4 linked regions of the Saccharomyces cerevisiae S288C genome follow. The protein of the gene in region 2 binds, or shares a complex with, the protein of the main gene of each other region. Each region holds a gene or a part of one and is shown on either strand. Other genes may lie near its edges. The genes, in order: MRP20, MRPL17, MRPL36 and MRPL22.

Region 1 (7,953 bases), on a different chromosome or scaffold from region 2:
AGCACCAACTGCGGAACAGACGCGTTGAGTACCTGTGATGTTCTGATAAGCAGGGCCAGCAGGGATGTATTGGGCACAAGGGAATCTACGGTCATGGAATTCATTGATCATTAAAGATTCAAACAGGTAGGCTAGCGGGTTGATATACCAAATCCAAATGGACCAACCTAAAATCTTCGTTTTAGGGATGGCAAACCCTGTATACATAGAAATTGCCAATAATAACATTGAAGCGGGGACCATGGCCTCCTGTAATGTTTTGGTCAAGGAGCCCACGCATCTAAATAAATGGGATAAAGTGAATGTGGCAATGACATTAATTAAAAAATAAAAGAAAAAGACACCACCGTTTCTCCTGAAATCAACTAGGAAATAAAAGATGATGTTGAAGCAGACAGCAGTGATCAATTTTGGCGGCATTTCTGACAAAACAGACGCAAATGCGTCAGCGCTTGGATGATACAAGGAATAAGTTCTGTGTTTTTCAGTTATAGGTCTTGTTTCATACAAACTAAAGATTTCCAAAAGACACGAAAATGCATTAAATAAAATAGCAAAAAACATTGCAGCACCACGGAAATAGAAAGTGGAAGTATCGTTTTTCTTCATCACTTTATAAAACATAGAACCCAAGATGAAAGCCATGACAGAGTTACCGATGACTTGCCACAAAGTAACACTAGCACTTTGCTTCATTCTCCAGAAATTTCTAATCAACAAGTATTTGACTTGCATTCCGTAGTTGACAACGTATGGAGAGGAAGGTGGTGCCCTTTTTGCCTGTTTAGCGTGGTGAGCATCCCTGATAATATTGCGTGCTTCATCTGTGTTTTTCTCTAATGTAGAGTCTATATCCTTGATTAAATTTTTGTAGCTTTCTGATTGTAGCCAATATTCGGCCATATCCTTTGGCGTTTGAGGCACTCTAGTACCTTTTTCGATAAATTCTTTGCTAATAATTCTTTCAGTAGGACTTGTAATTGAAGTTAAAAAATCTGCAGTGGTCTGTCTGGGAGGACAATAGTAGCCCATGTCTTGGAAATATTTCTTTGCATCCTTAGCGGGCCCAAAATAAAGCTGGTAACCATCATCCAGGACACAGACCTTATCAAAAAGATCATAAGCATCCTGAGAACATTGATAGATGGCCACAGTAGCCGCGGTCTTTCCAATGTCAGCCTGGGTTTTTAAAGCACGGATGAATTCTAAAGCAGTAGCAGAGTCCAAACCTCTGGTGGCATTATCCCAACATTGAAATCTGGCGCCGCAGATTGCGACTTCCGCAATGGATACACGCTTTCTTTCACCACCAGAAACACCTCTGACTAGATCGTTTCCGACCTTGGTGTCCCTTGTATGCGAAAGACCATATGTGGCCATTGCAACTTCTGTCACGTGATTGGCGTACGCTTCTCTATCAACACCCTTGATACGATTTTGCGGCGTTTTCATCCTTGCCACGGTGAAAAGCGTCTGGTACACGGTAAGATGCGGTAAATGAATATCTGATTCCGCATTGTAAACGACTTCACCACGGTAATGTTTCCTGATATCCGAGCTTGACAAACCGTTGTAAGAGACAATGGAGTCTTTTGCGATCTTGAACCCGTGCGAATTAGAAGATATGGATTTTAGCAGCGTAGTACAACCTGACCCTGGTCTCCCAAGAACAACCAACAGTTCACCGGGATTAAGACAACCATCCATGGGTTTCAGGATCTGAAAAGTGTCCTCTTCTTTACTGGGCTTCAGTAATCTGAGCCCTTTCGTAAGCAGCTTTGGTACGATGTTAGCGAAAGTTGACTGGTATGACACATCGGCGGAGTCTCCGGAGGCGCTTAGATTCTTCCATACACAACCGAGTGAGTATGGTTTATAGAAATCCGGGTCCGAAGTACAAATATTTGCCATGTTCTGTACCCACGCCGTACTGGAGAATTGATCACTGTTAGGGTCCAATTTGGGATTGTATCCCGGGGTGTCCGGGTTAGTGAACACCGGGTTCACACCTTCCATGTCCGTAGAAAATACGGATCTCGAGTCCGCATTGTGCGCATTATGGTTGCTGGAAGAGCTATTGTTTGAGTTAGCAGTGTATAGTAAACTCTGCGATGTGAGTGTTCTAGCCAACTCATGCACCCTTTCCGCGGCTTCGCTGTCGAAACCGCGGTATGGATGCTGTCCAATGGATTGGGCGGCAGAGTTCGAGCTCGAGCTTGAGCTCGAGCTCCGCGAATTTCGTTCCTCTACGTCTCTGATATCTGATGACATAGGTTTTTGATAATTATAAGTGTGTTTGCTTGTGTGTGTGTGTGTTTATATATTCGTATAGTAACTGTTATACGCTAATAGTATTAGTGATGTGATGTTCTTAACAGTAGTATACTTGAATACTGCATATGACGTATCTACAACAAGACTAGCAAATCTCTTTACAGCAACATAAGAAGGCAATTTGGTCCAGGTAGAGAGCTCCTGCTTATATATTCCTCAGATGTACATGCTCCCTTTCCGATCCCTACTACCAAAGTCTCGCACAGCAGTAGCAGTATTCTTTTCCCTCATCGTCTTACCATCGTGCCATACCTTAACCCCGGCACCGTGCGTTGCAGATCCGCCCCTCGCGGACCCGCTCGAGACTCTCCGCGGAACGAGCATGCGGACGGCTCCGCGCCACTGTCTCCGCAGGCATCCGTGCATGGCATCCCGCGGAAGCGACCCTGAAAATAATAAGTAAAGCAACCAATGTTCTTGCTCTTTGCGCGAACAAAAATAAAAAAAGAACAGAAATACAGGCCACCTTCCAGGGCAGGGGAAGGGGATGCCATCATCATTCTTTTCTTCCGTAAGGCATGTTCTACAGCCACTTCATATATTTTTGCGTTTGTTGCTCGGAAAAAGTAATGTTCTTAATTTTCTTTCTTTTTTTTTTTTTCTGTTTAGAGATTATGTAGTTTGCTCCGTATATACAAGTGTGAGGGGTGCAAGATGCTTATCTGGGTATTTGCGTGTGGGTTAACGAAGGGGTGGAATGGGAAACCTTCTAATGTAGATCTTCTATGTACCTGTTCAGGGCAATTAGTTTATCTGCGCGCTGCAGTTCGGCGGCGTGACGCTCTCGCTTATTGTCTATCTCTCGTTTTAAGAAGCGAGGTATAAAAGGCTGGGCCACCCGTTCGTAAGGCCCCACGACTCCGTCGAATGCTGTGCCGGGTTTGTTGGCGTCTGAGCCCAAGCAGTTAAGTCTTTCTTCACGGTACTTTTCCATGTTGTCAGGCGTGGTGCTGTCCCAGAAGGAGTTTTCGTCCGGACGGGGTTCTTCGGGCCAAATGAAGGGTTCTTCCATCTCGATAGTCATTTTCTTGATCTGCGGTTCTCTAAACCGCGTCGTCTGTAGGTTCATACGGTTAAACTTCCCATGAAGCAGCTGCGTCGTAATGTTCATTGCTCTTAAGCCGTAGATATGATAAAGATAGTCTCTGAGATCCAGTTTGTTGAACGATTTTGGGACGATGAATTTTGCTTGATACGGTGTGTGCTTCGCGTTGGGCCTCAAGAGGATGATCCTGGCCTTGGGAAAGTAGACTTTGTTACCTCCAACTTTGAAATGCTCCTTTCCCTGCTCTATGCCCGCCTTTGTCCACTTATAAATCTTCTCGCTTACGTTTATATCTACTTCGCGATCGCTGCCGCTTTTGTCGAGTATTTTGGAGGAACTCTCCACCACTGAGGCTAGTGATCTTATTGGAACCTGCTCTGGCTTGCAACTTCCTACTGCAAGTGTTTTTTGCAAAGGATACAACATATTCTTCGTTCCAACCGTCAATCGTGGCATATTCTGTGTTGGTGTTGCGTACTTTTTATTTTTATTTTATTTTTTTTTCTGTTGGAGCCTGCTAATCAAAGCACATTATTTGTTAGTAGCGTTACGTTCTCCACAAGAAATGTATGTACATTTCAAGTTCTAATACCATCGTTTTCCCTTTTTCATCGAGAAAATTCGTATAACGCGATTACGTATTAAGTGATCTTCTGTGGGTTTCAACGGCTATTTTGAAAAATACAAGGAAAATAAATGCGGTATTCCTATATCCCAGTGAAAATGCCAATAACGTAGACAAGCTCACTTCGTCGATTTATTCTCTAACATTGGGTCGATCAGGTCTGTCCACCTATCTCTTCTCCCAGAATATCATAGCCTTTCTTTTTCCGTTTCTCCTCCTACACCATTCTCCTTTGCGATTAGACAGTGGGAAAGTCCAAGAATAGATTCACATTTCAACCACTGTATAAATAACTCAATTTCTGAGAATGTTTTTTATTAAAGACCTTTCGCTTAATATTACCCTTCATCCGTCCTTTTTCGGTCCTCGAATGAAGCAATATCTAAAGACAAAACTATTGGAAGAGGTTGAAGGTTCGTGTACGGGTAAATTCGGATATATTCTTTGTGTCCTAGACTATGATAATATAGATATTCAACGTGGGAGAATATTGCCCACAGATGGGTCCGCCGAGTTCAACGTGAAATATAGAGCTGTAGTTTTCAAACCATTTAAAGGGGAAGTAGTGGACGGCACAGTCGTTTCATGTTCTCAGCACGGGTTCGAAGTGCAAGTAGGTCCAATGAAAGTATTTGTGACAAAGCATCTGATGCCTCAAGATTTAACCTTTAATGCGGGTTCAAACCCACCATCATACCAAAGTTCCGAGGATGTCATCACCATAAAAAGTAGAATTAGAGTTAAAATTGAAGGTTGTATCAGTCAAGTGAGTTCTATTCACGCAATCGGTAGTATCAAAGAAGATTATTTGGGTGCTATTTAATCACTTGTTACTCCGCAACGCTTTTCTGAACGCCCGCCTTCGCCTTTCATTATCATTCTCATCCCAAAAGAACTGTGCATGTTATTTGCAATACTTCATATACGCTCTGTATTATTAATAGTATCATTAATTACGTCAATTGAAATTCAAAATATCATCTTTGACAGTAACATCTATCCTCTTAGACAACTAGGGCCATTGCAGTGTCTCGAAACCATTAATATCACTGAAAAGATGAAAAGAAAGGCAAATATATATTGATCACTAATTTTCTAAGCTAAAGAATCTATTCCCCCTCTGTTAAATGGAATTGTGTGAAATAAAATATTATAAAATCAGAACTTTGGGGGGGAAACATAAAAAAATGAGAAAAAGAAAACGAACTAACTAATGTTTAAGTAAAAGAACAAAAAGGTAGACCAATGTAGCGCTCTTACTTTATTAAGAGATTTTCTTGATAACGAAATGTCCTCCTTCTCCAATATCGAAACGAGTATCTTTCCATACACCATCATACATACCCTTTTCGAGAGCCTCCTTGACTACTTTTGATTTTGTCAAAAAGTATTTCTCCTTTTCATCCTCAACCTTCACGACACAATTATGCCAAGGTGTGGGAATATGTAAAAAATCTTCAAATTTGGGTTCATCAAGGTCTTCTAACGAACTAACAATAGAACACTGTTCGTTGGAGATTACTTTTATACCAAATTTGGGCCCGCTGTTAGTGTGCGCATGAATAGAAATTCTCAAATGATGAGGGAATATCAATTCCACTAAGTTCGAATACGCGTCATTTCTCTTAATCATGTTAAAAGCGATCATTGAAATGATTTTCTTGAATTTTTTTCTGGAATAACTTTGGAAATGTTCCAGTAGAGATAAATCTTCCATCATAAAACGTGAAAAGCCCCTATACAGATGCAATCTTGGATGTCCTTCTATTGCAATCTGCTTTCTCAAACGACCTGCATCTGTATCACAGCCTTTCATCAAAATCTGTCTCGACAAATCGGACTTAGGACAGATTTGAGTTCCTGTGTAGTGTGCAACTTCAACATCACTAACCCACTTTGGATCGAAAACTTTACTAGCTGCACCGCTAAAAAATAAATCGTTCAATCCACAAAAGCCAATGGCGTCAACACCAGGTATAGCCACTCTTTTATACAGTTCGTGCAATTTGGTCGTGTAAGTACTCACGACGTCATCATCGACCCCAATACAATCGGAGAAAACATGGCCATCACTAACTATCCAAATTTTCATACCCGGTGGATATATCTTGACAAGGTCTTGTGTGGCTTTTATTAATCTTTTCAAAGCGAGTTCTTCGCCTTTGTCAGGAACGGAACCGTACACTTTTTGCTCATTAGATGACTTACATGGAAACGCTGGCAAGATGCATTCAATTCTCAAATATCGATCGGTAAAATATCTTGAACGTTCAATAAAATAATCACGGCCACCAAAATTCCATTGATCATTAACTATTGTGTTTTTCAAATTTTTCTCAAAAAAATCTGCAAATAATTCGTGATACTTAACTTCTTTGGTTACAATTGGATGTTCACTTAGAGATAATTGAGATTGGTCTAAAATATGATATACGAACCAGTTATTGAAAGAATTTTCATTCTCAACTGTTGTAACACACCCACGAATCTGGCGTTCGTCATCGCGTGTATATTCAGAAATCTTTATTGCCACTCCTAAATTATTGGTAAATTTATTTGCTAAAGAAGCTGGCAAAATTCTTTCAGAAACCCGTCCACTTACTTCGGATTCAGAAAAGTCCAGATTGTGAATAGTGTTGATAAAGTCGAGCCATTGGTCTCCAAATTTACAATTCTGTTTTTCCTCTAAAGAGTAAAAATCGTCACATTTGTCGCTTCTGCAATACAGGGCCAGAAATTTACTATATGTAGACAAATCGGCCCCATTATGGGGAATATCAATATCTTTCAACGTATCAGTCGATGAAGAAAATGAAGAGGCAGGTGGTGATATTGACTGCTCGGAGCTTGAGGGCAAGTTGCTAGTAAATGTCATTTTTGTTAATGTCTCGACAAAGCTTTACCGAATTAGGATATTAACAAATTGTTTATTTAGTCAAGACTTTGCGGAGGAGCACAATTTATGTGAAAATTTATTTCAATATTTATACATCATTTTTGATTCTGAACCTATTTTCAGAAATTGTTTTACAACATCGTAGGGCAGGCACTATGCCCTTGCAAATTTTATGATATACTGTCCACTGAAAGCAATGCAATCAAAATTCAAATAAACTCCTGAGGGGCCAATAATATAAGGATTTTTAGCACGCGACGTCTGGGATTGAGTGCCATGTATGTAAAGACGAGCAATTACTTTATGTTCCCTTATTTGTGAGGGGTTCCTGGTTTGCTTTTTTCGATCAATTCTCCTGATATTATTGAGTAAATTAGACAAATTGTTAGGAAACAACAAATTCCGATGCTTACTTACCCCTTAAATTTTCTCATTGCTCTTCATTGAGGTTGCATACCTCACCATATTTGTCATAGAAGGTCCCTTAAGGCGCCTTTTTATTTTTTCTTGGCAAGAGAACCCTTTTATTTATGGCCAGACGCGCGTCGCAAAAAAAGGTAAACATCAATAATTTTCCTTCCAGGGACTCTCAATAAAAAGACTGTAACTTGTATTATCAAATTGAGAAGCAATTACGTATTCCACCCCTCATTACTTCCCCGATACAATTTATTTTCACTTCTTTCGATGAATGCAGTGATTTCTATCTTTCCCGAAAATTACAAGCCACGGACCACAAGAGGAATGACTGGTCATCCTGATGCGAATAGTATATTAGGTAGTGCAAAAAAATACATTAATTTTCTTGAAATATTTTCGTTTTTTCAAAATGGTATTTGATTCAGACTAAGAGAATAAATCGAAAAAAGCATTAAAAATGGAGTTGTTAAAGCTTCTGTGTTTGATTTTATTTCTTACTCTTTCCTATGTCGCCTTTGCAATCATTGTCCCACCTCTAAACTTTCCCAAAAATATACCCACCATCCCATTTTATGTAGTATTTTTACCAGTAATATTTCCCATTGATCAAACGGAGCTATACGATCTTTATAT
Region 2 (8,153 bases):
AAAGAAAAAGTATAAAAGGGCAAGTGTTTCGTCCTTCCTCCATGTTCCATTCCTCGTTAGCATGACTCCCCGCTCCTTCCCTTTACGAGTTTCATGCTTTTAACATATCAAAAGTCAGTACTCGGCAACCTTATTGTATCGTTTTCGTATCGTATCGCATCGTATTATCGTATTGTACACAACTAACTCACCAATCAAGGCTCTTCTTACAATTAGTTACGTTACCGTATCCATTGCTACAACCTATAATTTCAAGCAAAAGAAAAATATACTATTGTCTATTTTTTTGTATTGTAGTTTTCTCTGATTACACATTTTTTCTAGTACTTTTCTCCAAGCACGAGTTACAGGAAAGGAACCGGAAAGCAACAAACATACTAAACATCCCATAATGCAGCAGGACGACGATTTTCAAAATTTTGTAGCTACCTTGGAATCATTCAAAGATTTGAAATCTGGTATTTCAGGTTCTCGTATTAAGAAACTAACCACTTACGCACTTGATCACATTGATATTGAATCGAAAATCATATCTTTGATAATAGACTACTCAAGACTTTGTCCCGATTCTCATAAATTAGGTTCTTTATATATCATCGATTCAATAGGTAGAGCTTACTTGGATGAAACAAGATCAAATTCAAACAGCAGCAGCAACAAACCCGGTACTTGTGCCCATGCCATAAACACGTTGGGCGAAGTAATTCAAGAACTGCTATCCGATGCTATTGCAAAAAGTAATCAAGACCACAAGGAAAAAATTCGTATGCTTTTAGACATTTGGGACAGGTCCGGCTTGTTTCAAAAGAGTTACTTGAACGCCATCAGGTCAAAATGCTTTGCTATGGACATATCGAATAACACCGCGAACACCGCTTCACAACAACTATCACTGGATCCCAAGCAGAGGTCGAAACAAATCTTGTCAAATCTAAAGAAAAGTCCTCCTTTAAACTTGAACATAAGTCTTCCAACTGATTTGACTTCCACAGATCCAGCCAAACAGCAAGCAGCTCTTTTCCAAGTAATAGCGGCTCTGCAGAAACATTTTAAAACTTTGCCTTCACATACATCCGTGGGTACAGTCGCACCTCCCCAAGCCCATACAATTACCGAATATGGTAGCAGACGTGAACGTGAACGTGAAAGAGAAAGATATAACTCAAGAAGGAATAGATCAAGATCTCCTCCGGCACCATTTTCTCAGCCATCGACAGGCAGGAAGGACCGCTATCCATCTGTGGCCCAGGACCAATACAGCATAGGCGCCCCCAATACGACATTTGGCACAAACAATCACCACTTATACCCCGATGAGCTTAATGTTTCCAATAATCCTCATTATAGACCAAAACCAGTAAGTTACGACTCTACATTGCCACCAGATCATATTAAAGTCTACAGCCGTACTCTTTTCATCGGTGGGGTACCACTAAACATGAAGGAATGGGACCTTGCTAACGTTTTAAAACCTTTTGCTGAAGTACAAAGCGTCATTCTGAATAACTCCAGAAAACACGCTTTTGTGAAAGTTTATTCAAGACATGAGGCCGAAAATGTTTTGCAAAACTTCAATAAAGATGGAGCCCTGCCATTGAGAACTAGGTGGGGAGTTGGTTTTGGTCCAAGAGATTGTTGTGACTATCAACACGGTTACAGTATTATTCCTATGCACAGGCTCACGGACGCTGATAAAAAATGGTCAGTAAGTGCGCAATGGGGTGGCACTTCTGGTCAACCTCTCGTTACCGGTATTGTTTTCGAAGAACCGGATATTATCGTTGGTGAAGGTGTTTCTTCCAAGGCAATATCTCAAAAGATGCCTACTGATTCTGGCAGAAATGGGCCACGTTCTGGTAAACCTAACAAATCTGGTAGCATATCGTCGATATCTCCAGTACCCTACGGCAATGCACCATTGGCATCTCCTCCACCACAGCAATATGTGCAACCTATGATGCAGCAACCGTATGGTTATGCCCCCAACCAACCATTACCTTCTCAGGGACCTGCCGCAGCGGCTCCCCCTGTACCTCAGCAACAATTTGACCCCACTGCTCAATTGAATTCTTTGATGAATATGCTTAACCAACAGCAGCAGCAACAACAACAAAGCTAAGATCTTTACTCCACCCTTTATTTGCTCATAGTACATAAAACTAATCTACCTCTATATATAATTTCTGTTTTTTCCTATGTTCCTTTTTTTTTTTTGTTAAATGGACATCCTTATGTATTCACATAACTACTGTGTTTCAAATGTAGCATTATCCTATTCTTTATTCTCTTTTTTTACCGTATTCCTGGTTTTTTTTCAAGGTTTAGATGAAAATGAAAATGAAAAAAAAAAAAGGAAAGAAAACAGTTAAACAATCAATAAACTTTATATTCTACGTAATCATAAGCGCTTATCCAGTACCATGAAGGTAAATTTAATGTTGAAAAGAGGGCTTGCTACTGCAACTGCAACTGCCAGTTCCGCTCCCCCCAAGATTAAAGTCGGAGTACTACTGTCAAGAATCCCTATAATTAAATCAGAATTAAATGAACTAGAGAAAAAATACTATGAGTACCAATCAGAACTAGAAAAGAGACTAATGTGGACGTTTCCGGCATATTTTTATTTCAAAAAGGGTACTGTAGCAGAACACAAATTTCTATCCCTGCAGAAAGGACCTATCTCCAAAAAAAATGGCATTTGGTTTCCTAGAGGCATACCGGACATTAAACATGGCAGAGAAAGAAGTACTAAGCAAGAAGTTAAACTTTCTGATGACAGTACAGTAGCATTTAGCAACAATCAAAAAGAGCAAAGCAAAGACGATGTTAATAGGCCCGTGATTCCCAACGACAGGATAACGGAAGCAGATAGGTCAAATGATATGAAGAGCCTTGAAAGACAATTGAGCAGGACCTTATATCTTTTGGTTAAGGATAAAAGCGGTACTTGGAAATTCCCTAACTTCGATCTTTCTGATGAATCTAAGCCGTTACACGTACACGCAGAGAACGAATTGAAATTGTTGAGCGGTGATCAGATATACACTTGGTCTGTTTCTGCTACGCCCATAGGTGTTTTGCAGGACGAGAGAAATAGGACTGCTGAGTTTATTGTGAAGTCACACATTTTGGCTGGAAAATTTGATTTGGTGGCGTCGAAAAATGATGCATTCGAGGATTTTGCTTGGCTGACAAAAGGTGAGATCAGTGAATATGTACCAAAAGATTACTTTAACAAAACAGAATTTCTTTTAGCGGATAATTGAAATCACAAAAACAGATGCGTTTTTAACGTTACATATACAAAATATATGCGTGCATATATATTTATATATTAGGTTGTCGTCAATCACATGTAAATATCATTAAATGAAAGAAAAAGAATGTGCATTTTCTACCGCATTCCTTCCATCAGGTAACTTATTTTTTTGAGTTGAATCTACTCGGCCTATCCTTGCCAATCCTATCAGTATTCTTACTCGTCCTTTTATTGTGGTTGTTGCCTCCACCGTTGTTTTTCCTACGTTTTTCAATCATCGTGTTATCGAACATGTCTTTCCAATAAGTTATTAGATTTTTTTCGTTTTTAACAAAATGATTTGATAGTGTGTCATTCTTGCCTGACATGATATACCATGATTTATCAGGATAAAACTTCAAAACGGGATCGGTTTTGTAATTGGCTAAAGATTTAGAGTGGAGTAAATTACCACTATTAAGATCATAGAAATATACCATTTCATCTTCTGTACAAATTCCTAGTATTTTACCCAAATGACAGACGTCTAGTGTTGTTACCGCAGAGTTCAAATCGTTAATTATTAATTCACAACATAGTGACTTCATATTCCATACGTAGCAATTCCCATCGATACTCCCAGTAATGAAGTTTCTTCCCCATGGGTCCATTTTGATCTCGGTTATAGGACCAGTATGTGCTTTAATTTTGGTACAAACCTCCAATATGCCATGTTTTGCTTTTAAAATGGCCAAATAACCACTCTTAAAGCCAATAAATATATGACTTCCACCATTGCTCCATGCTAAGGAATACACAACGTCATTATCCTCTTGGCTTATATCGCTGATGTTCAAAGAACAGACAGAGCTGTGATCCTTTTTCACATCAAACAAGTAGATTTTCTCAGATTTGGTGGCAGCTAATAACCAGTTTCCTAATGGATCATAAAGACATGTGTTGACCTTAGTCTTGCTTCCCAATGACAAGGTCCTTAATTTGGATGCCGTTAGCGATTTTTCGTTGATTAAGAGTAAGGATATCTCTGATGAATTGCTCACGACAGCTATTTGATTTAAAGAAGTAGGGTTCCAGGACAAATCAGTAGCCAATTTATCGGAACCACAACAGTCTGGAATATAAACTTCTACAGATTTGTCAAAACTTGCATCTTTAATAAACCAAACGGTCAATGACCCATCCATTCTACTATACGCCATCGATGAACCTGATACGTGAAATTTTAGGGAAAGAATTTCATTTGGAGTTATGGGAGTCGAGGTGAATCTTGAATGAGAACGCGAACTGACATGAATGAACCTTTTATCTTCGATATGACTTGTATTACCTTTAGAAAACGTACTTTGTAGATATTTTGAAGTCACTGAGGCAGCCACTTCAGAAGTTATGGTCTTTTGATTAAGAATATCAACAGCTCCAATTGTCGACATGCCGAATAGTTCACTTGATCCTTTTTATGTATGTAGCTGTACACCAATCAAACCTCAATGAGTGAAGCTTTGTACGTAGAAATACTGAAGAGATATATATTTAACATAATATCTTATGTACGTAACCTGTGGTGCAAGGCTTTTAATTTTCTTAATTCTACTATGAATAATGATAAGTTAGGCAAGACACCTATACATGGTTAGTGGCGTCGTTGGGGTGTAAAAATGAATTGTCCATGCTCGGTTACTGTTTTATACAACGGTACAATAATTTAACGTTTTGTTTCTTCCGTCATCATATCCAGTGGGAAAGGTGTATTTCTAGAAAATAATGTTAACCTTCAAGGTTATGCTTTGCGATATTTGACACTTTCCAAAGAAACATGGGCACTGTTAATATACCTTCAAGTCTACATACATATATATAAACTGCATTTGGCTATCTATCGAACGTAAGCAGGAAAAAAATGGCAATTCGATTGAAAATCCAAAACCCTTTATGATACTGAAGACAACTCCAGTAATTGAATAGGTATGGAATAGTAATTCTCTGAAAACTCCCTTGAAAATTGGGAGGCAATGATACTCCTATTTGTGCTGCATCTCAATTGTTGTGGTAAATAGCGTCCTAAACTTTTTTTTTTTCCTATATATAGATGGCGTCGCTAAAATGGGAAGCTTTGAAAAATGTAGCGATGAGATCACATTAAAAGGGTACTGTATGTGCTCTCGAGACCTTAGCACAAATTTTTGACCTGCGTAGACAGAGATGGTTGGGCCTGGTCTGGGAATTAATCGAGTGAGGAGAAAAGGTGTTTATTCCACAAAAAAGGGAAGTGGTGATAACTTACTGTTAATGAAAAGACAAGGAAAACATGACATACATGATAGAGAAAGTGACGACTTATCAGGCCATGATGCCTTTTCCCCCTCAAAAAAGCGCGGCAAAATAGACAGTATCACAGAAGATGAGATTGAAGTAAAAAAGCTTTCCACTGTGGCCACATTTGATAAACTTTCGAGGTCATTTCCAAATTCAGAAGTACAAGCCGCAAAGAATGCAGCACTCAGAGGAAAAGAAAAAGAAGAAGAGAAGGTCGTTTCTATCCCACTAATACAGAATTTGAAAAATGAAGATATCGAGTCTATCAAATGCAGGAACAATAATCTTTTAGACGGTAAAAAATTACTCTTGGAGGCAGAACTATCGGCAGTTGAAGATAACCAAATCTTCTCCTCTTCATTTCCCGAGGATAAAAAGCTATCGTTACAAAGTTGTTTGAGTTCTAAAGAGCAGATAATCAAAAAACTTCAAGTAAGGGAAGAATACATGAGCAAGTTCAAACTACCACCCATGTTGTTTTCGGATGAGCTACTCACTGAAGTAGAACCCTTCATGCCCATTGTAATGGACATATTGGAGGGAAAGATATCGTCTGTATACTATTTTGAAGCAAAAAATGCATTCAAAAACTCACAAAAGGCTTACTTGTCCGTAGATGAGTTTAGAAAGTTGAATTTAAACAAATTTACTGCTGGATTTTACGGCCTGAAAAGGCAATTGAGGGTTGGCGAAGAAATCGCTAAGAGATATAAAAGGGCACTCACGCACAATCAGCCCGCAACCTTAAAATGGTGGGGGATAACAGATTTCTGTAACTACGTTTTGGCTCCAGAAACCCTTACGTCTTTTTGTATTTACCAATTAAATCTCTCGAATAAATCTTGCTCGTCGAAGACACCGAATAAACATCCAAAGCAACAATTAAACGAGAAGGAATATTACTACGATCCCGAATTAAGGATGCTAGCCTATGACTTACTCGAGGATACAGTTGAATACGGTATCATAGTAGCCGACTCTGATCCAATTGAGCAATGGGAAGCTGCCATAGAGGAAGACCGTCTGCGGGAACTGAAACTCGATGTTCATAACTATTCCAGCAGGAGATGGCGACTGGATACGCACGATTAAACAGGTAGTATATTGCCGTTTGTTGCCTTTATGGCTTAGGGATTTGAGCTTTATAGTAAGAACTGCTGTGGTGTCATGATAGACGAAATGCTGAAAAAATTTTCTTTTCGTTCCTTTTCTCTTTTGGCAAGAGTTGTAATAAGGTCATCGATGGATTAGAAATGCTCTTTCTGCTTTGGGGGCACTTGAGGATTGTATTATTTTAAGGCTTTCCCTTCAGAAATCAGGAAAAAAGAAAAGAATACGAAAAAGATGTCTCAAAAAGCTTGTTACGTTTGCGGTAAGATTGGCCATTTGGCAGAAGACTGTGATTCTGAAAGACTATGTTACAACTGTAACAAACCCGGTCACGTTCAAACGGATTGTACCATGCCAAGAACAGTTGAATTCAAGCAATGTTACAATTGTGGTGAAACCGGTCACGTTAGAAGTGAATGTACTGTGCAACGTTGTTTCAACTGTAACCAAACCGGCCACATCTCCAGAGAATGCCCTGAACCAAAGAAGACCAGCAGATTCTCCAAAGTTTCATGTTATAAATGTGGTGGTCCAAACCATATGGCTAAGGACTGTATGAAAGAGGACGGAATTAGTGGATTGAAATGTTACACTTGTGGTCAAGCTGGCCACATGTCCAGGGACTGTCAAAATGACAGGCTTTGTTACAACTGTAACGAAACTGGCCATATTTCCAAGGATTGTCCAAAGGCTTAGGTGAAACATCCACTGAAAAAAACAAAGGAACAATCACTTATCATGCTATATTTCATAGAGGGGAAAAAAGAAGCACAAGTAAACTGAATATTTAAGTTTATTTTCTATATCTTTTCTATACTTCATTTCACTTGTTTCCTCCCTTGGTTATTTTTAACGATTCTTTATTATGAAACAGGAAAAAAAATTATTACAAAACAGAATTACATATTTAATCTATATAACTAACCTTTATTCCAAACCTTTATAAATAGCATCTGCTAATTTAATGCTCTTCGAACAATTTTTAACGTCATGGACCCTAACCATGTCGCTGCCGAAACCAATACACGACGCTACCACCGCTCCAGTAGCAAAGTCTCTTTGCTTCGCATCCACATCTTTTGTGATATGTCCAATGAATTTTTTGCGCGATGGACCCAATAAAACGGGCATATTTCTGAGGTTAACATACACTTGCGAATTGTTTGAGTTCATGGTGAATGAGTAGTTCTTTAAAATGGGGATATGTCTAATAATTTGTAAGTTTTGCTTCCAGGTCTTAGCAAAACCAAGTCCAGGGTCGATTAGAATTTGCCAGCGCTTTACTCCATTATCAATCGCTTTGATATACCTTTCGCCAATTTCTTGACCAACATTCCTGATTAACACTGTTTTGTCTTTCAAGTCGTCTAGCTGCTGAATGTCGGTATTATGAACAAATTCTTGCTGAATAGAATCACCCAATGCAAAATTTTCGTAATGCGCCAGCCTATTCATCGTTGAAATATCACCA
Region 3 (7,745 bases), on a different chromosome or scaffold from region 2:
ATTTTAATGAGCATCCTGTAATTGGTAAAAGAGTTCCCTTCAGAGATGAGTCGGTCATATTAAAGGTTACAATGCCTAAGGGAACTTTAAGTAAAAATAATAATAGCGTCAAAGATTCTATCAAATCCTTAAAAGATTCGAATAAATTGAGAGTCACTCCTGTTTCCATAGTAGATAACACTATAAAATTTAGAGAAATGTCAGATTTTCAAATCAAACTGGATAATGTCCCCTCTGCAAGAGAGTTCAAAAGTAGCTTTGGCTCTCTGGAATGGAATAATTTCAAAAGTTTTGTCAATTCTGTACCAGATAATGACTCTCAACCTCAGGAAAACATCGGGAATTTGATCTTAGACCGTAGCGTTAAAATTCCGAGTACAGATTTCCAACTGCCGCCACCTCCTAAGTTATCAATGGTTGGTTTCCCCCTGCTTTATAAATATAAAGCTAATCCATTTGCGAAAAAAAAAAAAAACGGTGTCACAGAAGTGAAGGGAACATATATCAAAAACTATCAGTTGTTTGTTCATGATCTTAGTGATAAGACAGTTATACCGTCCCAAGCTCATGAACAAGTCCTGTACGATTTTGAGGTCGCGAAGAAAACAAAAGTCTATCCAGGCACTAAAAGTGACTCTAAATTTTATGAATCGCTGGAGGAATGCTTGAAAATTTTGAGAGAGCTCTTCGCTAGACGTCCAATTTGGGTTAAAAGACATCTTGATGGGATTGTCCCGAAGAAGATACACCATACTATGAAGATAGCGCTGGCACTCATATCTTATCGTTTCACAATGGGGCCTTGGAGAAATACATATATCAAATTTGGTATAGACCCCAGAAGTTCAGTGGAATACGCCCAATATCAAACAGAATATTTTAAGATTGAAAGGAAATTACTATCTTCTCCCATAGTGAAAAAGAATGTACCAAAGCCACCACCCCTGGTATTCGAATCAGACACTCCAGGCGGTATTGACAGCAGGTTCAAATTTGATGGAAAAAGAATACCGTGGTACCTGATGTTGCAGATTGATTTATTAATTGGTGAGCCAAACATTGCAGAAGTTTTTCACAACGTCGAATATTTAGATAAGGCGAATGAACTAACTGGATGGTTCAAAGAATTAGACTTGGTCAAGATAAGAAGGATAGTAAAATACGAACTTGGTTGCATGGTTCAAGGAAATTATGAGTATAATAAATACAAGTTGAAGTATTTCAAGACAATGTTATTTGTTAAAGAATCCATGGTACCCGAAAACAAGAACTCAGAAGAGGGAATGGGTGTTAACACCAATAAAGATGCTGATGGGGACATAAATATGGATGCAGGTAGTCAAATGTCCTCAAATGCCATAGAGGAGGATAAGGGTATCGCTGCTGGTGATGATTTTGATGATAATGGCGCCATAACTGAAGAGCCAGACGACGCTGCTTTGGAAAATGAAGAGATGGACACTGATCAGAACTTGAAGGTGCCTGCAAGTATAGACGATGACGTGGATGACGTTGATGCAGATGAAGAAGAACAAGAAAGTTTTGATGTTAAAACAGCGAGCTTCCAAGATATCATAAATAAAATAGCTAAACTAGATCCTAAAACCGCGGAAACAATGAAAAGCGAGCTCAAGGGATTTGTTGATGAAGTCGATCTGTAATAAGTAGGTTTTCTTTTATTTCAATATCAAAATATGCCAAATGTGCAATAAAACCATAACTACGTATGTGATATTTCTGAGTTTTGTCCCCAAACCGTAAAGAGCGATTATCTCGTGCAAAATGCATCAAAATCAAATAACTAAAATGAAAGGGTATCATTATTATTCCTAAAAGTTAAGAATGCCTCCAGAAAGAACGGGTACCAACGCAAACGAACACACGTTTTGTTCACTCCTAATGTTGAAGTCTATATTTGCGAAGCGATTTGCTTCCACAGGGTCATATCCTGGTTCTACAAGAATTACTTTGCCAAGAAGGCCTGCAAAAAAAATTCAACTGGGGAAGTCACGACCGGCTATTTATCACCAATTCAATGTCAAAATGGAGTTGAGTGATGGAAGTGTAGTTATCCGGAGATCCCAATATCCAAAGGGTGAAATTAGATTAATTCAAGACCAGAGAAATAATCCGCTGTGGAATCCTAGCAGGGATGACCTAGTCGTTGTGGATGCTAATTCTGGTGGTAGCTTGGACAGATTTAACAAGAGGTATAGCTCTTTGTTTTCTGTCGATTCAACGACCCCAAATTCAAGCTCTGAAACAGTTGAACTATCTGAAGAAAATAAAAAGAAAACACAGATTAAAAAGGAGGAGAAGGAAGACGTTTCTGAAAAAGCGTTCGGTATGGATGACTATCTATCTCTGTTAGACGATAGTGAACAACAGATCAAATCAGGTAAGTTGGCCAGTAAGAAGAGAGACAAGAAGTGAATAGTGTTTGCTCCCCTTACTTTTCTATTCTCGAACCAATTTATATTCCTTTTGGGACATAGATCTCAATCGCATCTGTTTGAAGACTACATAAACAGCCTTGTATATACCGCAACATATACACATACGTCTACATATGTATATATTGACAACGAAGATTCTGCGAACGCTTGGTTTGGCGCTATCGCGATAGATTAAGTGCAACAAGACACACATTTACAAACATAATATGAACCAGATATGATTCATGGATTATCGAGGCAAATGGTCTGTGAATGAAGCTCACTTACGCTGCAATAAGCAGCAACGGCATTGTAGTGATCATTTTCTACGCCTCGTAATATTTCAGCGCAGTGGAAAAAAATTGAAAATTTTTACTCTTCTCGAGTGTTGAATCACTGCTGCGATACTTATCACGTACTTTGTATACATAATTTTACTTGCAATTAGGACTCGAAATCTGTTCAATTACTTTTGAGGATTTCTTTTATTTTAGTTTCCCTTTTTGCATTCGTGTTGATTTTCAAGAAAAATTGTCGTTCTTCAATATCAGTAGACGATTTTACTCTCAGATTGTTAAAAAATCGGTTAAGATTAAAAGAATGAGTGTAGAAGATATCAAGAAGGCTAGAGCCGCTGTTCCATTTAACAGAGAACAGCTAGAAAGTGTTTTGAGAGGAAGATTTTTTTATGCCCCAGCTTTTGACTTGTACGGTGGGGTTTCTGGTTTATATGACTATGGTCCACCAGGTTGTGCATTCCAAAACAACATCATTGACGCCTGGAGAAAGCATTTTATTTTGGAAGAAGATATGTTGGAAGTTGATTGTACTATGTTAACTCCATATGAGGTTTTGAAGACCTCAGGTCATGTTGACAAATTTTCTGATTGGATGTGTAGAGATTTGAAGACTGGTGAGATTTTCAGAGCTGACCATTTAGTCGAAGAAGTTTTGGAAGCTCGCTTAAAGGGTGACCAAGAAGCCAGAGGTTTAGTCGAGGATGCTAATGCCGCTGCTAAGGACGATGCCGAAAAGAAGAAGAGAAAGAAAAAAGTTAAACAAATTAAAGCAGTCAAATTGGATGACGACGTTGTCAAAGAATATGAAGAAATTTTGGCTAAAATAGATGGTTATTCCGGCCCAGAATTAGGTGAATTGATGGAAAAATACGATATCGGTAACCCAGTCACCGGAGAAACTTTAGAATCTCCAAGGGCTTTTAACCTGATGTTTGAAACGGCTATTGGCCCATCTGGTCAATTAAAGGGTTACTTGAGGCCAGAAACTGCCCAAGGTCAATTCTTGAATTTTAACAAGTTGTTAGAATTTAACAACAGTAAGACCCCTTTTGCCTCAGCCTCTATCGGTAAATCATTTAGAAATGAGATTTCCCCAAGGGCCGGTTTATTAAGAGTCCGTGAATTTTTGATGGCAGAGATTGAACATTTCGTTGACCCATTGGACAAATCTCATCCAAAATTTAATGAAATCAAAGACATCAAGCTTTCCTTTTTGCCTCGTGATGTTCAAGAAGCTGGTTCTACTGAACCAATTGTCAAGACAGTTGGTGAAGCAGTTGCTTCAAGAATGGTCGATAATGAAACTTTGGGTTACTTTATTGCCAGAATTTACCAATTTTTGATGAAAATTGGTGTTGATGAGTCCAAATTGAGATTCCGTCAACATATGGCTAATGAAATGGCACATTATGCTGCTGACTGTTGGGATGGTGAATTGAAGACATCTTACGGGTGGATTGAATGTGTCGGATGTGCTGATAGATCTGCCTATGATTTGACCGTTCATTCCAAAAAGACCAAAGAAAAATTGGTTGTTAGACAAAAATTAGATAATCCAATTGAAGTCACCAAGTGGGAAATTGATTTGACGAAAAAATTGTTCGGTCCAAAATTCAGAAAAGATGCACCAAAAGTTGAATCTCATCTATTGAATATGTCTCAAGATGACTTGGCTTCCAAGGCTGAGTTATTGAAGGCAAATGGCAAGTTTACTATAAAGGTTGATGGTGTTGATGGCGAAGTCGAGTTGGACGATAAATTGGTTAAAATCGAACAAAGAACAAAGGTTGAACACGTTAGAGAATATGTTCCTAGTGTCATTGAACCATCTTTCGGTATTGGCCGTATCATCTACTCCGTTTTTGAGCACTCTTTCTGGAACAGACCAGAAGACAATGCCAGAAGTGTTCTTTCCTTCCCACCTTTGGTTGCTCCAACAAAGGTTCTTTTAGTTCCTTTATCTAACCACAAAGATTTAGTTCCTGTTACTACTGAAGTCGCCAAAATCTTAAGAAAGTCTCAAATCCCATTTAAGATTGATGATTCTGGAGTTTCCATTGGTAAAAGATATGCCCGTAATGACGAATTAGGTACTCCATTCGGTGTCACCATTGACTTTGAATCTGCCAAAGACCATTCTGTCACTTTGAGAGAAAGAGATTCCACCAAGCAAGTTAGAGGTTCCGTCGAAAATGTCATCAAGGCTATCCGCGATATCACTTACAATGGTGCTTCTTGGGAAGAAGGTACCAAGGATTTGACTCCTTTTATTGCCCAAGCTGAAGCTGAAGCTGAAACTGACTAAATAAATGACTTAATTTTAACTATATATCGCCAAACATGTAAATTAAAAAAAGAAGCGAGAAGTATATACATGTGTGTATGAATAAATAATTCGTTTACTATTGATACGTATTGCAAGATATGATTATGTACTGTCCACTAATACGATTATTTTGGAAGTTTATAAAAGAAGTGCGGAAATCACATCTGCTGTTTATTTAGCCATTCCTCACACTAATAGTTAAAGTACTTTCATAGCAGCTCTGCGCATGGTCGGACATGCGAAAAATTCTGATATCAAGAAAAAGCGAAATATTTCCGGCCTTGTAGGGGCCAAAACATTAACGTATATCAAGATTTCCTGTGGTAGCAACATTATAAGAAAAAAAGGTAGCCTTCATTGAAACATTCTCTCTATCAGCTTACCAAGTTAAACTCCGTATTCCACAAGCAAGTGCCAAAATGTCTTCTTCCCAGGTCGTCAGGGATTCTGCCAAAAAATTAGTTAATTTACTGGAAAAATATCCAAAGGATCGTATACACCACTTGGTCTCATTCAGGGATGTACAAATAGCAAGATTTAGACGTGTAGCGGGTCTGCCAAATGTAGATGACAAAGGAAAATCTATAAAAGAGAAAAAACCCTCATTAGATGAAATAAAAAGTATAATTAACAGAACTTCCGGTCCATTAGGACTGAATAAGGAGATGTTAACCAAAATTCAAAATAAAATGGTAGATGAGAAATTCACGGAAGAAAGCATCAACGAGCAAATTCGTGCCTTGAGCACTATAATGAATAATAAATTCAGAAACTATTACGATATTGGCGATAAGCTCTATAAACCTGCAGGAAATCCCCAATATTATCAACGGTTAATAAATGCCGTTGACGGTAAGAAAAAGGAAAGCTTATTTACTGCAATGAGAACTGTATTATTTGGTAAATAAAGAGCACATTATTTTCTAAGCTTGTAAATACATATTTATTCATAATGGAGAACGTTATTCAAATTTATCTGTGAATTTCTTTACTCGAGGTATACTTCCGCAAAGGAAATTCTACTTAGCAAATCCTATGGTAACGTCATTGTTTTGTAGCTTGTAAGTGGAGCCTAACTGATTCTTGATTTTCGTAGCATCAGCAACGGTCTCGTATTCCACGAAAGCTAGGTTACGAACGCTAACTAATCTGATTTCAACTAAAGCCTCATTGCCAAGTATTTGCGACAATAATTGCTCGGTAGTGCCGCTTGGCAAATTTTGTATAAGAAGGACTTTGTTCGGTGGATTTTCCATTGTATTGGACACTTTAGCCCGCTTAAGAGGTTTCTGCGATTGTTTTAGATTTTCTTGCTGAGACTTCATGTTTTCCAATCTACGGGTTTCAAATTCTTTTACAATCCTATCAATCTCAGCCTCCTCTACCTTTCTTGATCTCAGCTTATGCTTCAGGCGTCTTATTTGCCTTTTAAGCCTGAACTTTTTGGCGCATATATCATCACTACGTAACTTGCGTTTAAGTTTCCTTGCTTTAAGCACCTTCTTTATATCAAGGTTGTACGTTTCGTCATTACCTTTTTTTTTTTGCATTTCTATTGAAAGACCCAATAACGAATTTGTTCGAGCCTTTCCCATTCTCACTTTACGACCTTGAACTTTTAATGCTGTTGTCGTGTATTTTTCTAGAAACCGGTCTGCTTCTTCTTGAGTGACAAACGTTAAAAATGCTTGGTTAGTCATCTTTGATGATCTTGAAATAGAAACTTCAAGAAGGCCCATTTGATCATCTAGTAACATCAGCGGTTGTGATGATATTTGTAATTTATTGTGGGGAAGGGGTAGCGACGGATTAATGGCATACTTGTTGTTGGGATTAATGTGTTTCAGAAGTAATCTGGTATAATTTTCTTTATTTGCTGGCCTACTGGGTAAATTTTGAAAGTACAGTCTGTTTTTATTGGTCATAGAGTATAGAATAATGAAAACGTTAGTAGAAAGAAGATTTAAGGAAACGTAAATTACAAGGTATATACATACGCTGACATGGTTTCTTTAGGTTTGATGAGGCCGTCTTTTGTTGATAGCAGCTTTTTCCATTTTTTTTTTTTTTGTTTCGAGTAACGTATGGTTTAGTATCTGTCTTCTCCTTCTCTTACAAAAAAACCCTTTGTAAAATAGTGCCGAGTTGGAGGACATCAATCTGATGGGCAAGAAAACACCAACCCCCCCTATATGAAAAGAAAATGATAAGCAGATAGATAAAAATACTTAATTAACTAATACATAAAAATAAGAGGTATATAAAAATATTATATGGAAGCAATAATTATTACTCTTATTTCTTAGCAGCCTTTTGAGCAGCCTTGGTAACCTTAGCGGCCTTTTCAGTCTTGTCAACAGACTTGATAACACCGACAGCGACAGTTTGTCTCATGTCTCTGACAGCGAATCTACCTAATGGTGGGTATTCACTGAAAGCTTCAACACACATTGGCTTAGATGGAACGAACTTGACCAAAGCAGCGTCACCGGACTTCAAGAACTTTGGATGGTCTTCCAACTTCTTACCAGATCTTCTGTCGTTCTTTTCCAACAATTCGTCGAATCTACAAGCAATGTGAGCAGTGTGACAATCCAAAACTGGAGAGTAACCAGCAGAGATTTGACCTGGATGGTTCAAAACAATGACGGTAGCGTTGAAAGAAGCGCAACCCTTTGGTGGATC
Region 4 (8,040 bases), 130 kb from region 2:
CCAACTGAATATTCTGGATATTGTCTTGTGCAATAGACCGGAAAAAAAAAAGTGAATGTTCCAACGCTTTGGAATACAATGATGGGTCAAGGATCGTGCTTTTGTTCGTTGGTGGATCGGCCGTACGTGTTTAGTGAGGGTACTATTTAAACTTACTTTAAATAGCAAAATAGGAAAAGCTACGAGAAACTGAAAAGTAAAAAAAAAAAAAAAAAATAAAAAAAAAAGAAAAAAAAAGGAGAAACATGATTGCCAGTACTCGCAAGAACTAAGATAGAGAGAAAAAGGACGATATATCAAGAAATAAAAGGGAAGGTAATTCAAGTAAGCACTGCTTAGCTGTCTGCATAGGAGCCTTCTGCAATTACTCATCTCATCGTATTCGTCATAACCCGTTACGTAACTGATTTGACCAAGAAGCGTAATGAAAATTTTGAGCGGACGCCGAAACGTTGTTTTTTTTTTGCTTTAGTCCAGATAATAACCTTTTATAATTTTCTTTTTAGGGAGGAAGACCGGTCTAAGCTCTTAGAGGTTCTCGCATACCCAAGTAAAAGCTAAGACCGAAGCAAACACGCAGGATAATTTTCCGGTTTACTCTCACTGCAGCTTTAGTATAGATGCAGATCTGGTATTGAGAGAGGGGGGCCGGAACGAAAAGATTCAGGGGAGAGAAAGGCCCGGGCGTCGGGGAACAAAACCACTTTTGCACACCTTAATTTTTTAGCTACTCTGTTTCTCCGGGCTTGTATGGCACATAAATAAAATTCTGCTACTTTCCATTATCTGGTCATCACTTACCGATGTGGAGAGCCTTGCCCTTGAAAAATAAGATAAGACCTCCGATTAGGGTATTTGAAATTAACCGCTGTAGAATGAAATAAGGACGCTTGTTTGACATTTTTTAGTTGCTTTCTCTATCTACCACCATTTGCATCTTGATTTATGTCTTGTTTGAGGAGATTTCGGATAAATATTCTTCGAGGGGAAAATGTCGTAAAAATAAAAACAATAAAGAAACAAAACGATTAAAAGAAAAACTCAACCATCCTCAAAAGTCCTCCTCTTTTTTTTCACGTGCTGCGCTGATGTAAGCAGCAGGACATGGCAGGAAGAAAATCGGAGAATTGTGGCCGCGACACCTGACAAACAATCCTCAGGCAAATGTAAAATTGTACATGAAAGGCTGCGTAGTCAATGTCTTAGAAGGCCGGCCCGCATGATCCAGAAGCAGACCATAAAAAAAATAAAAATTCGCGGTCTGGCAGCAGGCATAAGATGCATAGCGTTATCCTAAATGACATCACGATGATAAATCCTCCGCCGCATGATGCTTTTGATTTGCCTAAGGGCCTGCCATCGTGCTGGCTCAAACTATTGAGGGTCAACATACCTTGAAAATCCAAGTAAAAGGATGGATATCGTTATACTAAAAGCAACACAGAAAAGGTCCACGTCAGTTCCACACAATAACATTTACGTAGTGTTCACGCGAAGCAGTTACATCTCAACTAACATAATTGCTGGTGAGCCTACAACACTGCATGCGTAAACGTCAACGGGATTACGTTAGTATTTTTGGCCGCCGGTAAATTCTCTTGTTTTTTTTTCTTGATTTCACTTCTTTTCATGTTCCTTTGGAATAATCTAATTCCTCATGATTAAATGAGACTGTTTTTTGTTTCCGTAACATCCATACCTTTCCTGTATAATATTCTTGCTGTAAAGTTTGTTTTTTTTATGAAAAAAACATTTTCTTTTCTTGAGATGAGGCGCCGCGAGCCTTTCTCCCATGGGCAGTGGTAAATTTTCCAAATCAATGCAGCTCTTTGAAATACAACAGCATTTTTCATACATTTTAAGCAATTTCTAGTTTGTAGATATTGTTAGATTAGTTTTTGAACATTGTTTTGATAACTGAAAATAAAACAGCAAACAAACTACAAAAATGGTCGCTTTAATCTCTAAGAAAAGAAAGCTAGTCGCTGACGGTGTCTTCTACGCTGAATTGAACGAATTCTTCACCAGAGAATTAGCTGAAGAAGGTTACTCCGGTGTTGAAGTCCGTGTCACTCCAACCAAGACCGAAGTTATCATCAGAGCTACCAGAACTCAAGATGTTTTGGGTGAAAACGGTAGAAGAATCAACGAATTAACTTTGTTGGTTCAAAAGAGATTCAAGTACGCTCCAGGTACTATTGTCTTATATGCTGAAAGAGTTCAAGACCGTGGTTTGTCCGCTGTCGCTCAAGCTGAATCTATGAAATTCAAATTGTTGAACGGTTTGGCTATCAGAAGAGCTGCTTACGGTGTCGTCAGATACGTTATGGAATCTGGTGCTAAGGGTTGTGAAGTTGTTGTTTCCGGTAAACTAAGAGCTGCCAGAGCTAAGGCTATGAAATTTGCTGACGGTTTCTTGATTCACTCTGGTCAACCAGTCAACGACTTCATTGACACTGCTACTAGACACGTCTTGATGAGACAAGGTGTTTTGGGTATCAAGGTTAAGATTATGAGAGACCCAGCTAAGAGCAGAACTGGTCCAAAGGCTTTGCCAGATGCTGTCACCATCATTGAACCAAAAGAAGAAGAACCAATTCTTGCTCCATCTGTCAAGGACTACAGACCAGCTGAAGAAACTGAAGCTCAAGCTGAACCAGTTGAAGCTTAGATTTAATTATTAAATACATAAATAAACTATAAGTACAATAATTTCTTCTATTCTAGTGCACTTAATTGTTGCGGTTTCTTGCATATTGCCGTGTTTAGTCAGGAGGGTGCACGTTGAAGCAGTGCGTTGAAACTAGTTGTTATTTACAGAATCACAATATTATATAATCAAAAGAAAAGTTTTGTACAACACAACTGTGAATATAGGTTAAGAAGTGAGTAGCAGTTCATCTTTCTCAGCTTACAGGACGATTTCTCGGATATGAATGAGTTCGCTATCGTTTTCACCACTTGTATACGCCGCCTGTAACACCCCTAATGGGCTTATCTCCCAACTGTACCCATGGCGCTCTTTTTTGCTCTTTTAAATGTGCTTCATAAGCAAGTCTTCGTTTCGTAACACTCTTTGTTCTCAGAATACATCTGACATGTATGTAAGGATGACTTATGATTCCGATTCTTGTCCTTGCCTTGAATTCAACACGTTTTCTCCAAAACCCGTCACTCCCTGTCCAAATCTGAGAGATATATAAGTCCTCTGGTTTCAAACCTAATTTTTGGCCATCTTTTACACCTTTTTGAAGTAGTTCTGCTACTTCGCGAGCAATTTTCTTATTAGAAAAGTGACACTGAGATATAGCTTTCATAACGTCGAGGCCTCCCAATAACCTCAACAAAAGTGTAGCCTTTTTCATCGACGATTTAATTCTATATGACTGAGCATATACGGAAGGTTCTAGTACTTCAATTTCTCTTTTTGTTAACTTTAGCTTGTAACGTTCGCTAGAATTTGGTAACTTTACAATAGTATCTTTCTTGTAAAACCCACCATTAATTTTACAATTAGCTTCATATATTTCCCTTTTCAAAGGAGATAATAAGCTCTGTGATGCTAATTGTTCCGGTTGCTGCAACGATATGATATGTTGCTGTAGTAGTTTATCGTTTTCTATGGTTATTGAATCCCTATTAACTTCAGGAGCCTCTCCAGAAGAATCAGAAGCAATCGCTAACCTATTAGAGAAGCTGCCTGCATCTTCATCCCCCCTGTTTTTTCCTTCCTTTGGTTTATTTTCTGTAATGCTTCCGAATAGTGATCCTCCTGAATTATTAAGACTTATTGGCGTTACATGAATCCAACGTCTACTTACAGAAGAAAGTAGAGCCCTAGAAATGACACCGACCTGAGATATTCTTGCCGTGTGGAAGTTCATTTTCTTTAATAAAAAAGATAGGGTGAGGTGAGGTTCTCTGACTTGCTATGCGGCTCCTAATGGCGTATGTTAAAATGCCTTCCAGATTGGATAGTTGACTTTTATTCAAAATCCCGAGTACAGTGAAGGCTTAGTTACCCCGCCCACAGAAGATTAATAGAATATCATGAGTACTGTTCAAGCAGCAAGCAGGAGAAAAGACTGAAAGAGTTTCGTATAATTTAGTATTTATTTATTTAGGAGAACTAAAATATTTTCTTTATACACAAAGAACAAAGTTTTCTTTTTTTTTCATTGCAGAATGGTATCATTGTTTTTTATGCCTTTTAAAAGGCCTTGTCGTTCTTCACTATTGGCAATAAAGATGTTTTTATGATTTTTAATAGTAGTGTTATTCAGCAAGAGCTGATTTTGCTTAATTAGTAAACATCATACTAATAGACTGAAGTCATCGTCATATAATTTCCCTCAAGAACCCTTGTGAATTGTTCTGAACTGTATTTCTCTCATCATGAGAGATGTCATTATCTAAACCACGTCCGAGTCGTATCGAATTTGAAGATAAAGTAGAAAAGCCACCTTGAGTAGATGAACCCAATGACGAATATGTAAATGAAGAGCCATAGGAAAATCTGTTTTCCTGGTCCATGAAATTACTCCGCATATTTTGAAAGGAGCCATTCATTGCGGTAACATTCCTTGGTGGTGGCACTGGAGGAGGATTTCCTCTTGCCTTAAAATTGAATTCGTTGCTGAACGGATTATTAGCAGAAGCAGTCTCGGTGTTTCGTTGCTGTGATCCCGAGTCTTGAGCTTGAAGTGACGCCTCTTTTGCTTGGGCAGTTGTTGGGAATCCCGTTCTGCGCCCAATCTCGTGACAGAAGGAATCGTTTTCCTTGAAATGCCTCTTTGCCTTCCTTTTTCTAACCAGCATGAACCAAACTACTAGTACACATATAAGAATACCACCGACGCTTCCTACCACACTTCCAACAATGGTACCAGTATTTGTCTTTGAAGTGCCTTGGTTTTTGTTATTATCCAAACTGCCATCAAGCCAGTGCTGATAGAAAGACATGTCAGCTGTGATCGTCGAAGATGGAGCGGAAAATGAGGTTACCTCACTTTTTGCAACTGCTATGGTCGTAGGTAATCCCGTCACGAACGTTGTAGAGGAGTCAGTAATATCATATGTTTGGGTATAGAAATAATAAATAGTTTTTGAATCTTCGGAGCTTGAAATGGCTACCGTATTGAAGACCTGACTGGATGTTGGTATGGGAGACGTAGAAATCGTACTAGTGCTGGGTGTTTGAGTGGTGGGTGGTATACTGCTGCTAGTAGTAGATTGTAAGGACTGAAAAGTATACGTGCTTGAGTAAGCACTTGTTGTATCATCTGATGATGATGATGATGAAGGACGGTTTGAAGGTACTTTACTGCTGGATGAGCTAACAGAACTTGACGTTGGCACGGAAATCGTGCTTATGGAAACTGTCGAAGATGAAGCTGATGGACTGAGTTTCGATGATTTGCTTATGGTTGAAAAATCGTTCGTCGATGAAAGCGATGAACTGTAAAACGATGTGGAAGTATTCCGACTGGAACTTGGGAATGTGGTATCTTTATTTGATATCGTAGAAGGAGAAGAAATTGTTGAGAACCAACTAGAAGAGAGTTCTGAAGTGGTACTAATTTGAAATGAAGTTGCAGATATGGAAGACAAGTATGTGTAACTAGGGGATATTACGGTGGGTGTTGATGGTGAGAAAATAGAAGATCTGCTGTCGAACGAAAACAATTTAGTGTCTGAATATGATGAAGATAGTGATAATGACAACGAGGACGATACCAGTAACGAAGATGGTGATGATAACGACGACCATGATGATGACAGCGATGTAGCTGATGACGATAACGTTGGTGTTGTTGATGTTAACGATGACCATTCCGACGTTATTGACGACGATGATGACATTGGTGACGTCGATGAGAAAATGGACATGGATGGTGTAATTATTGAGTATGAGGAGGTAGCTGGGTCATATTGGGAACTATACGTATCTTGCTCGCTCGATGAACTGCTGTCGGTAGATGATACTAAAGTACTTGTCGAAGATACATCAATGGATGTATGCAAAGTCTCATCATATGTTAAGCTTGTAGAATAATATGTAGGAGTAGCTGTACTAGACACGGGCGGTAATGAGGTCAGACTTCCTTGTTGGGGTACTAAAGTTGAAGTAGATGCGAAGACAACATCCGTTGATCGTGAATTCAGACTGCTACTTGGTTCACTGAATGACAGGGATATCGTATCAGATTCTCCAAGGGTGGTCCTTCCGATGGTACTATTGGAGTTCATACGATGGCCAAAATAATTACTCTATCCAGCTTTTCTTTTAGATTTCCTTCAGATATCGACGGATGGGGATTGAAATACTAAATGTGTGTCTTAAGCGAAAGTGTGCCAACAACCAGTCCAAAAAACGGATCAGTAGTGTTTCGGTACCTGGTGAGTAGTTTAGGATTTTATGAGTGTACGGCGATTATCAGTGTATTACTAATATGCGAACCGCTCCTAAAGATCTTGTTTACCTCATTTCTTTCTTCTTTTTTTTTTTTTTTTCCGTGCGTTCTCCCCGTGCCTTGATAAGCAATAATGGAAAAAATAAAAATAGCAGCAATTGGTTATACAATGTATATATAAAACATGAATGATTGAATAATTTACAAGCGAAATAATCGCATTATATACGTGGCACCTACAGTCAGTTCACGCTGATTAGTCAAACTTCACTTTCTTACCTTGTGATGGGACAATAGCTGCAGAACCTCTCTGAGCAGTGGCTAAAGCTACACTGCTCTTAGTTCGGTTATTGGAATCTACAGGTGGACGTCTGTTGGCGTTGGACCGCTTGTATTCGGGTTTGCTGCCGTTATCCTGTCCCGCACGATCGTATCCTTTGTTGTTAGAGATATCAAATGATGAGGAATTGTTTCTGGATACATTTTCAACCTTCTTACGAACTTGTCTTTTACTTCTATCTTCACCGTATTCCATTCGCAATGGCCTTCCGGCAATTTTTCTACAACTTTTATCCTTTAATGCATTAGTAGATCCTTCTTCATTCTTGAAGTCGATAAATGCGAATCCTTTACATTTACCACTATCTTCGAATGTTGCCATGCGGATTTTCACGATATCACCACAATGTTGGAAGTGTTTTCTTAACAGATCATCTGTGACATCGAATGACAAATTACCGACAAATAGAATCCTTGACGGTGGATTTTTGGACATGGCAACTAAATCGTCCTTGTCTGGCCTACCTGAATAATTTTCGGAGTCCTTGATTAGCATATTCCTTCCGTTTAAATGAGATTCAGATAATTCTAAGACCGCTTTCATCTGCTCGACGTTCTTGAAAAACATGTAGCAAAATCCCTTATTTTTCATGGCGTTAGAGTTCTTGGCAGCAACACGAGGCATGGATAACCTGGTTATGTCTTGTTCGGTGACTCTGCTCTTTTCATCTTCGTTGTCTTTTGTTTTAGCAATAAAAAATCTTACTAAATCGTCCTTTGTGGTGTCGAAGGATAAGTTACCAATCCAAACACCATATTTATTTTCATCTTTCTTCTTCTTTTTTACAACCTCGCCAGATTCATCTCCTGTTGGAGTGTTGATTGTAGATTCTTCACCCTGGGCGTCTTTCTCAGAAGCACCAGACTTTTTCTTTTCAGCATCTTCTTTGTATTCCTCGATTGACTTAGGGTCGATATTGTACTTCGCATTCAACTCCTCTAGAGTAACTTTACCTCTTCTCAAGAGACGTTTCTGTTTTTTTGATAGGGGAATGGAGCTTTTCAGGTCAATCTCAATTTCATCTTCAGCTTTTCTCTTTTTTGTTGGATCGAGTAAAGCCTTCTTGACTTGTTCCTCGTTATCCTTTTTTGTAACAGCATCTTCTTTCGACAGTTCTGTTTCTGACATTCTATCTCAAATTATAGAAAGTTGTTGGGTTTAGGTAATGTTCTGTGGGGAAAAGGATTTCTCTTTGTTGTATGGTTAAATTTATCATCTATGCTCATCGCAATTTTTTCTTTCAGACTGAAAAATTTCAGGTTTTTGCATTTCAACGGGAAACGTGAC

The links.
Region 1: MRPL17 (region 2) and MRP20 share a complex: the UniProt entries of both Saccharomyces cerevisiae proteins name them as parts of the mitochondrial large ribosomal subunit.
Region 3: MRPL17 (region 2) and MRPL36 share a complex: the UniProt entries of both Saccharomyces cerevisiae proteins name them as parts of the mitochondrial large ribosomal subunit.
Region 4: MRPL17 (region 2) and MRPL22 share a complex: the UniProt entries of both Saccharomyces cerevisiae proteins name them as parts of the mitochondrial large ribosomal subunit.

What each region holds. Positions count from the first base shown.
Region 1 is NC_001136.10:1,273,528-1,281,480, reverse strand, and holds MRP20 (mitochondrial 54S ribosomal protein uL23m MRP20), read right to left. Parts: upstream 3,836-7,953; coding exon 3,044-3,835; downstream 1-3,043. Other genes in the region: ATP-binding cassette multidrug transporter PDR15, read right to left, coding at 1-2,271; DNA-directed RNA polymerase II subunit RPB7, read left to right, coding at 4,312-4,827; DIT1 (Dit1p), read right to left, coding at 5,269-6,879; DIT2 (putative cytochrome P450), read left to right, coding at 7,778-7,953. UniProt on the Saccharomyces cerevisiae protein: Component of the mitochondrial ribosome (mitoribosome), a dedicated translation machinery responsible for the synthesis of mitochondrial genome-encoded proteins, including at least some of the essential transmembrane subunits of the mitochondrial respiratory chain.
Region 2 is NC_001146.8:166,554-174,706, reverse strand, and holds MRPL17 (mitochondrial 54S ribosomal protein mL46 MRPL17), read left to right. Parts: upstream 1-2,420; coding exon 2,421-3,266; downstream 3,267-8,153. Other genes in the region: Nrd1 complex RNA-binding subunit, read left to right, coding at 392-2,119; TEX1 (Tex1p), read right to left, coding at 3,421-4,689; RTC4 (Rtc4p), read left to right, coding at 5,459-6,664; mRNA-binding translational activator GIS2, read left to right, coding at 6,917-7,378; trifunctional dihydropteroate synthetase/dihydrohydroxymethylpterin pyrophosphokinase/dihydroneopterin aldolase FOL1, read right to left, coding at 7,610-8,153. UniProt on the Saccharomyces cerevisiae protein: Component of the mitochondrial ribosome (mitoribosome), a dedicated translation machinery responsible for the synthesis of mitochondrial genome-encoded proteins, including at least some of the essential transmembrane subunits of the mitochondrial respiratory chain.
Region 3 is NC_001134.8:478,658-486,402, reverse strand, and holds MRPL36 (mitochondrial 54S ribosomal protein bL31m MRPL36), read left to right. Parts: upstream 1-1,899; coding exon 1,900-2,433; downstream 2,434-7,745. Other genes in the region: transcription factor TFIIIC subunit TFC1, read left to right, coding at 1-1,661; GRS1 (glycine--tRNA ligase), read left to right, coding at 3,036-5,039; CBP6 (Cbp6p), read left to right, coding at 5,480-5,968; MUD1 (Mud1p), read right to left, coding at 6,080-6,968, 7,058-7,065; TEF2 (translation elongation factor EF-1 alpha), read right to left, coding at 7,356-7,745. UniProt on the Saccharomyces cerevisiae protein: Component of the mitochondrial ribosome (mitoribosome), a dedicated translation machinery responsible for the synthesis of mitochondrial genome-encoded proteins, including at least some of the essential transmembrane subunits of the mitochondrial respiratory chain.
Region 4 is NC_001146.8:300,732-308,771, forward strand, and holds MRPL22 (mitochondrial 54S ribosomal protein uL22m MRPL22), read right to left. Parts: upstream 3,885-8,040; coding exon 2,955-3,884; downstream 1-2,954. Other genes in the region: 40S ribosomal protein uS3 RPS3, read left to right, coding at 1,949-2,671; TDA7 (Tda7p), read right to left, coding at 4,339-6,249; NOP13 (Nop13p), read right to left, coding at 6,670-7,881. UniProt on the Saccharomyces cerevisiae protein: Component of the mitochondrial ribosome (mitoribosome), a dedicated translation machinery responsible for the synthesis of mitochondrial genome-encoded proteins, including at least some of the essential transmembrane subunits of the mitochondrial respiratory chain.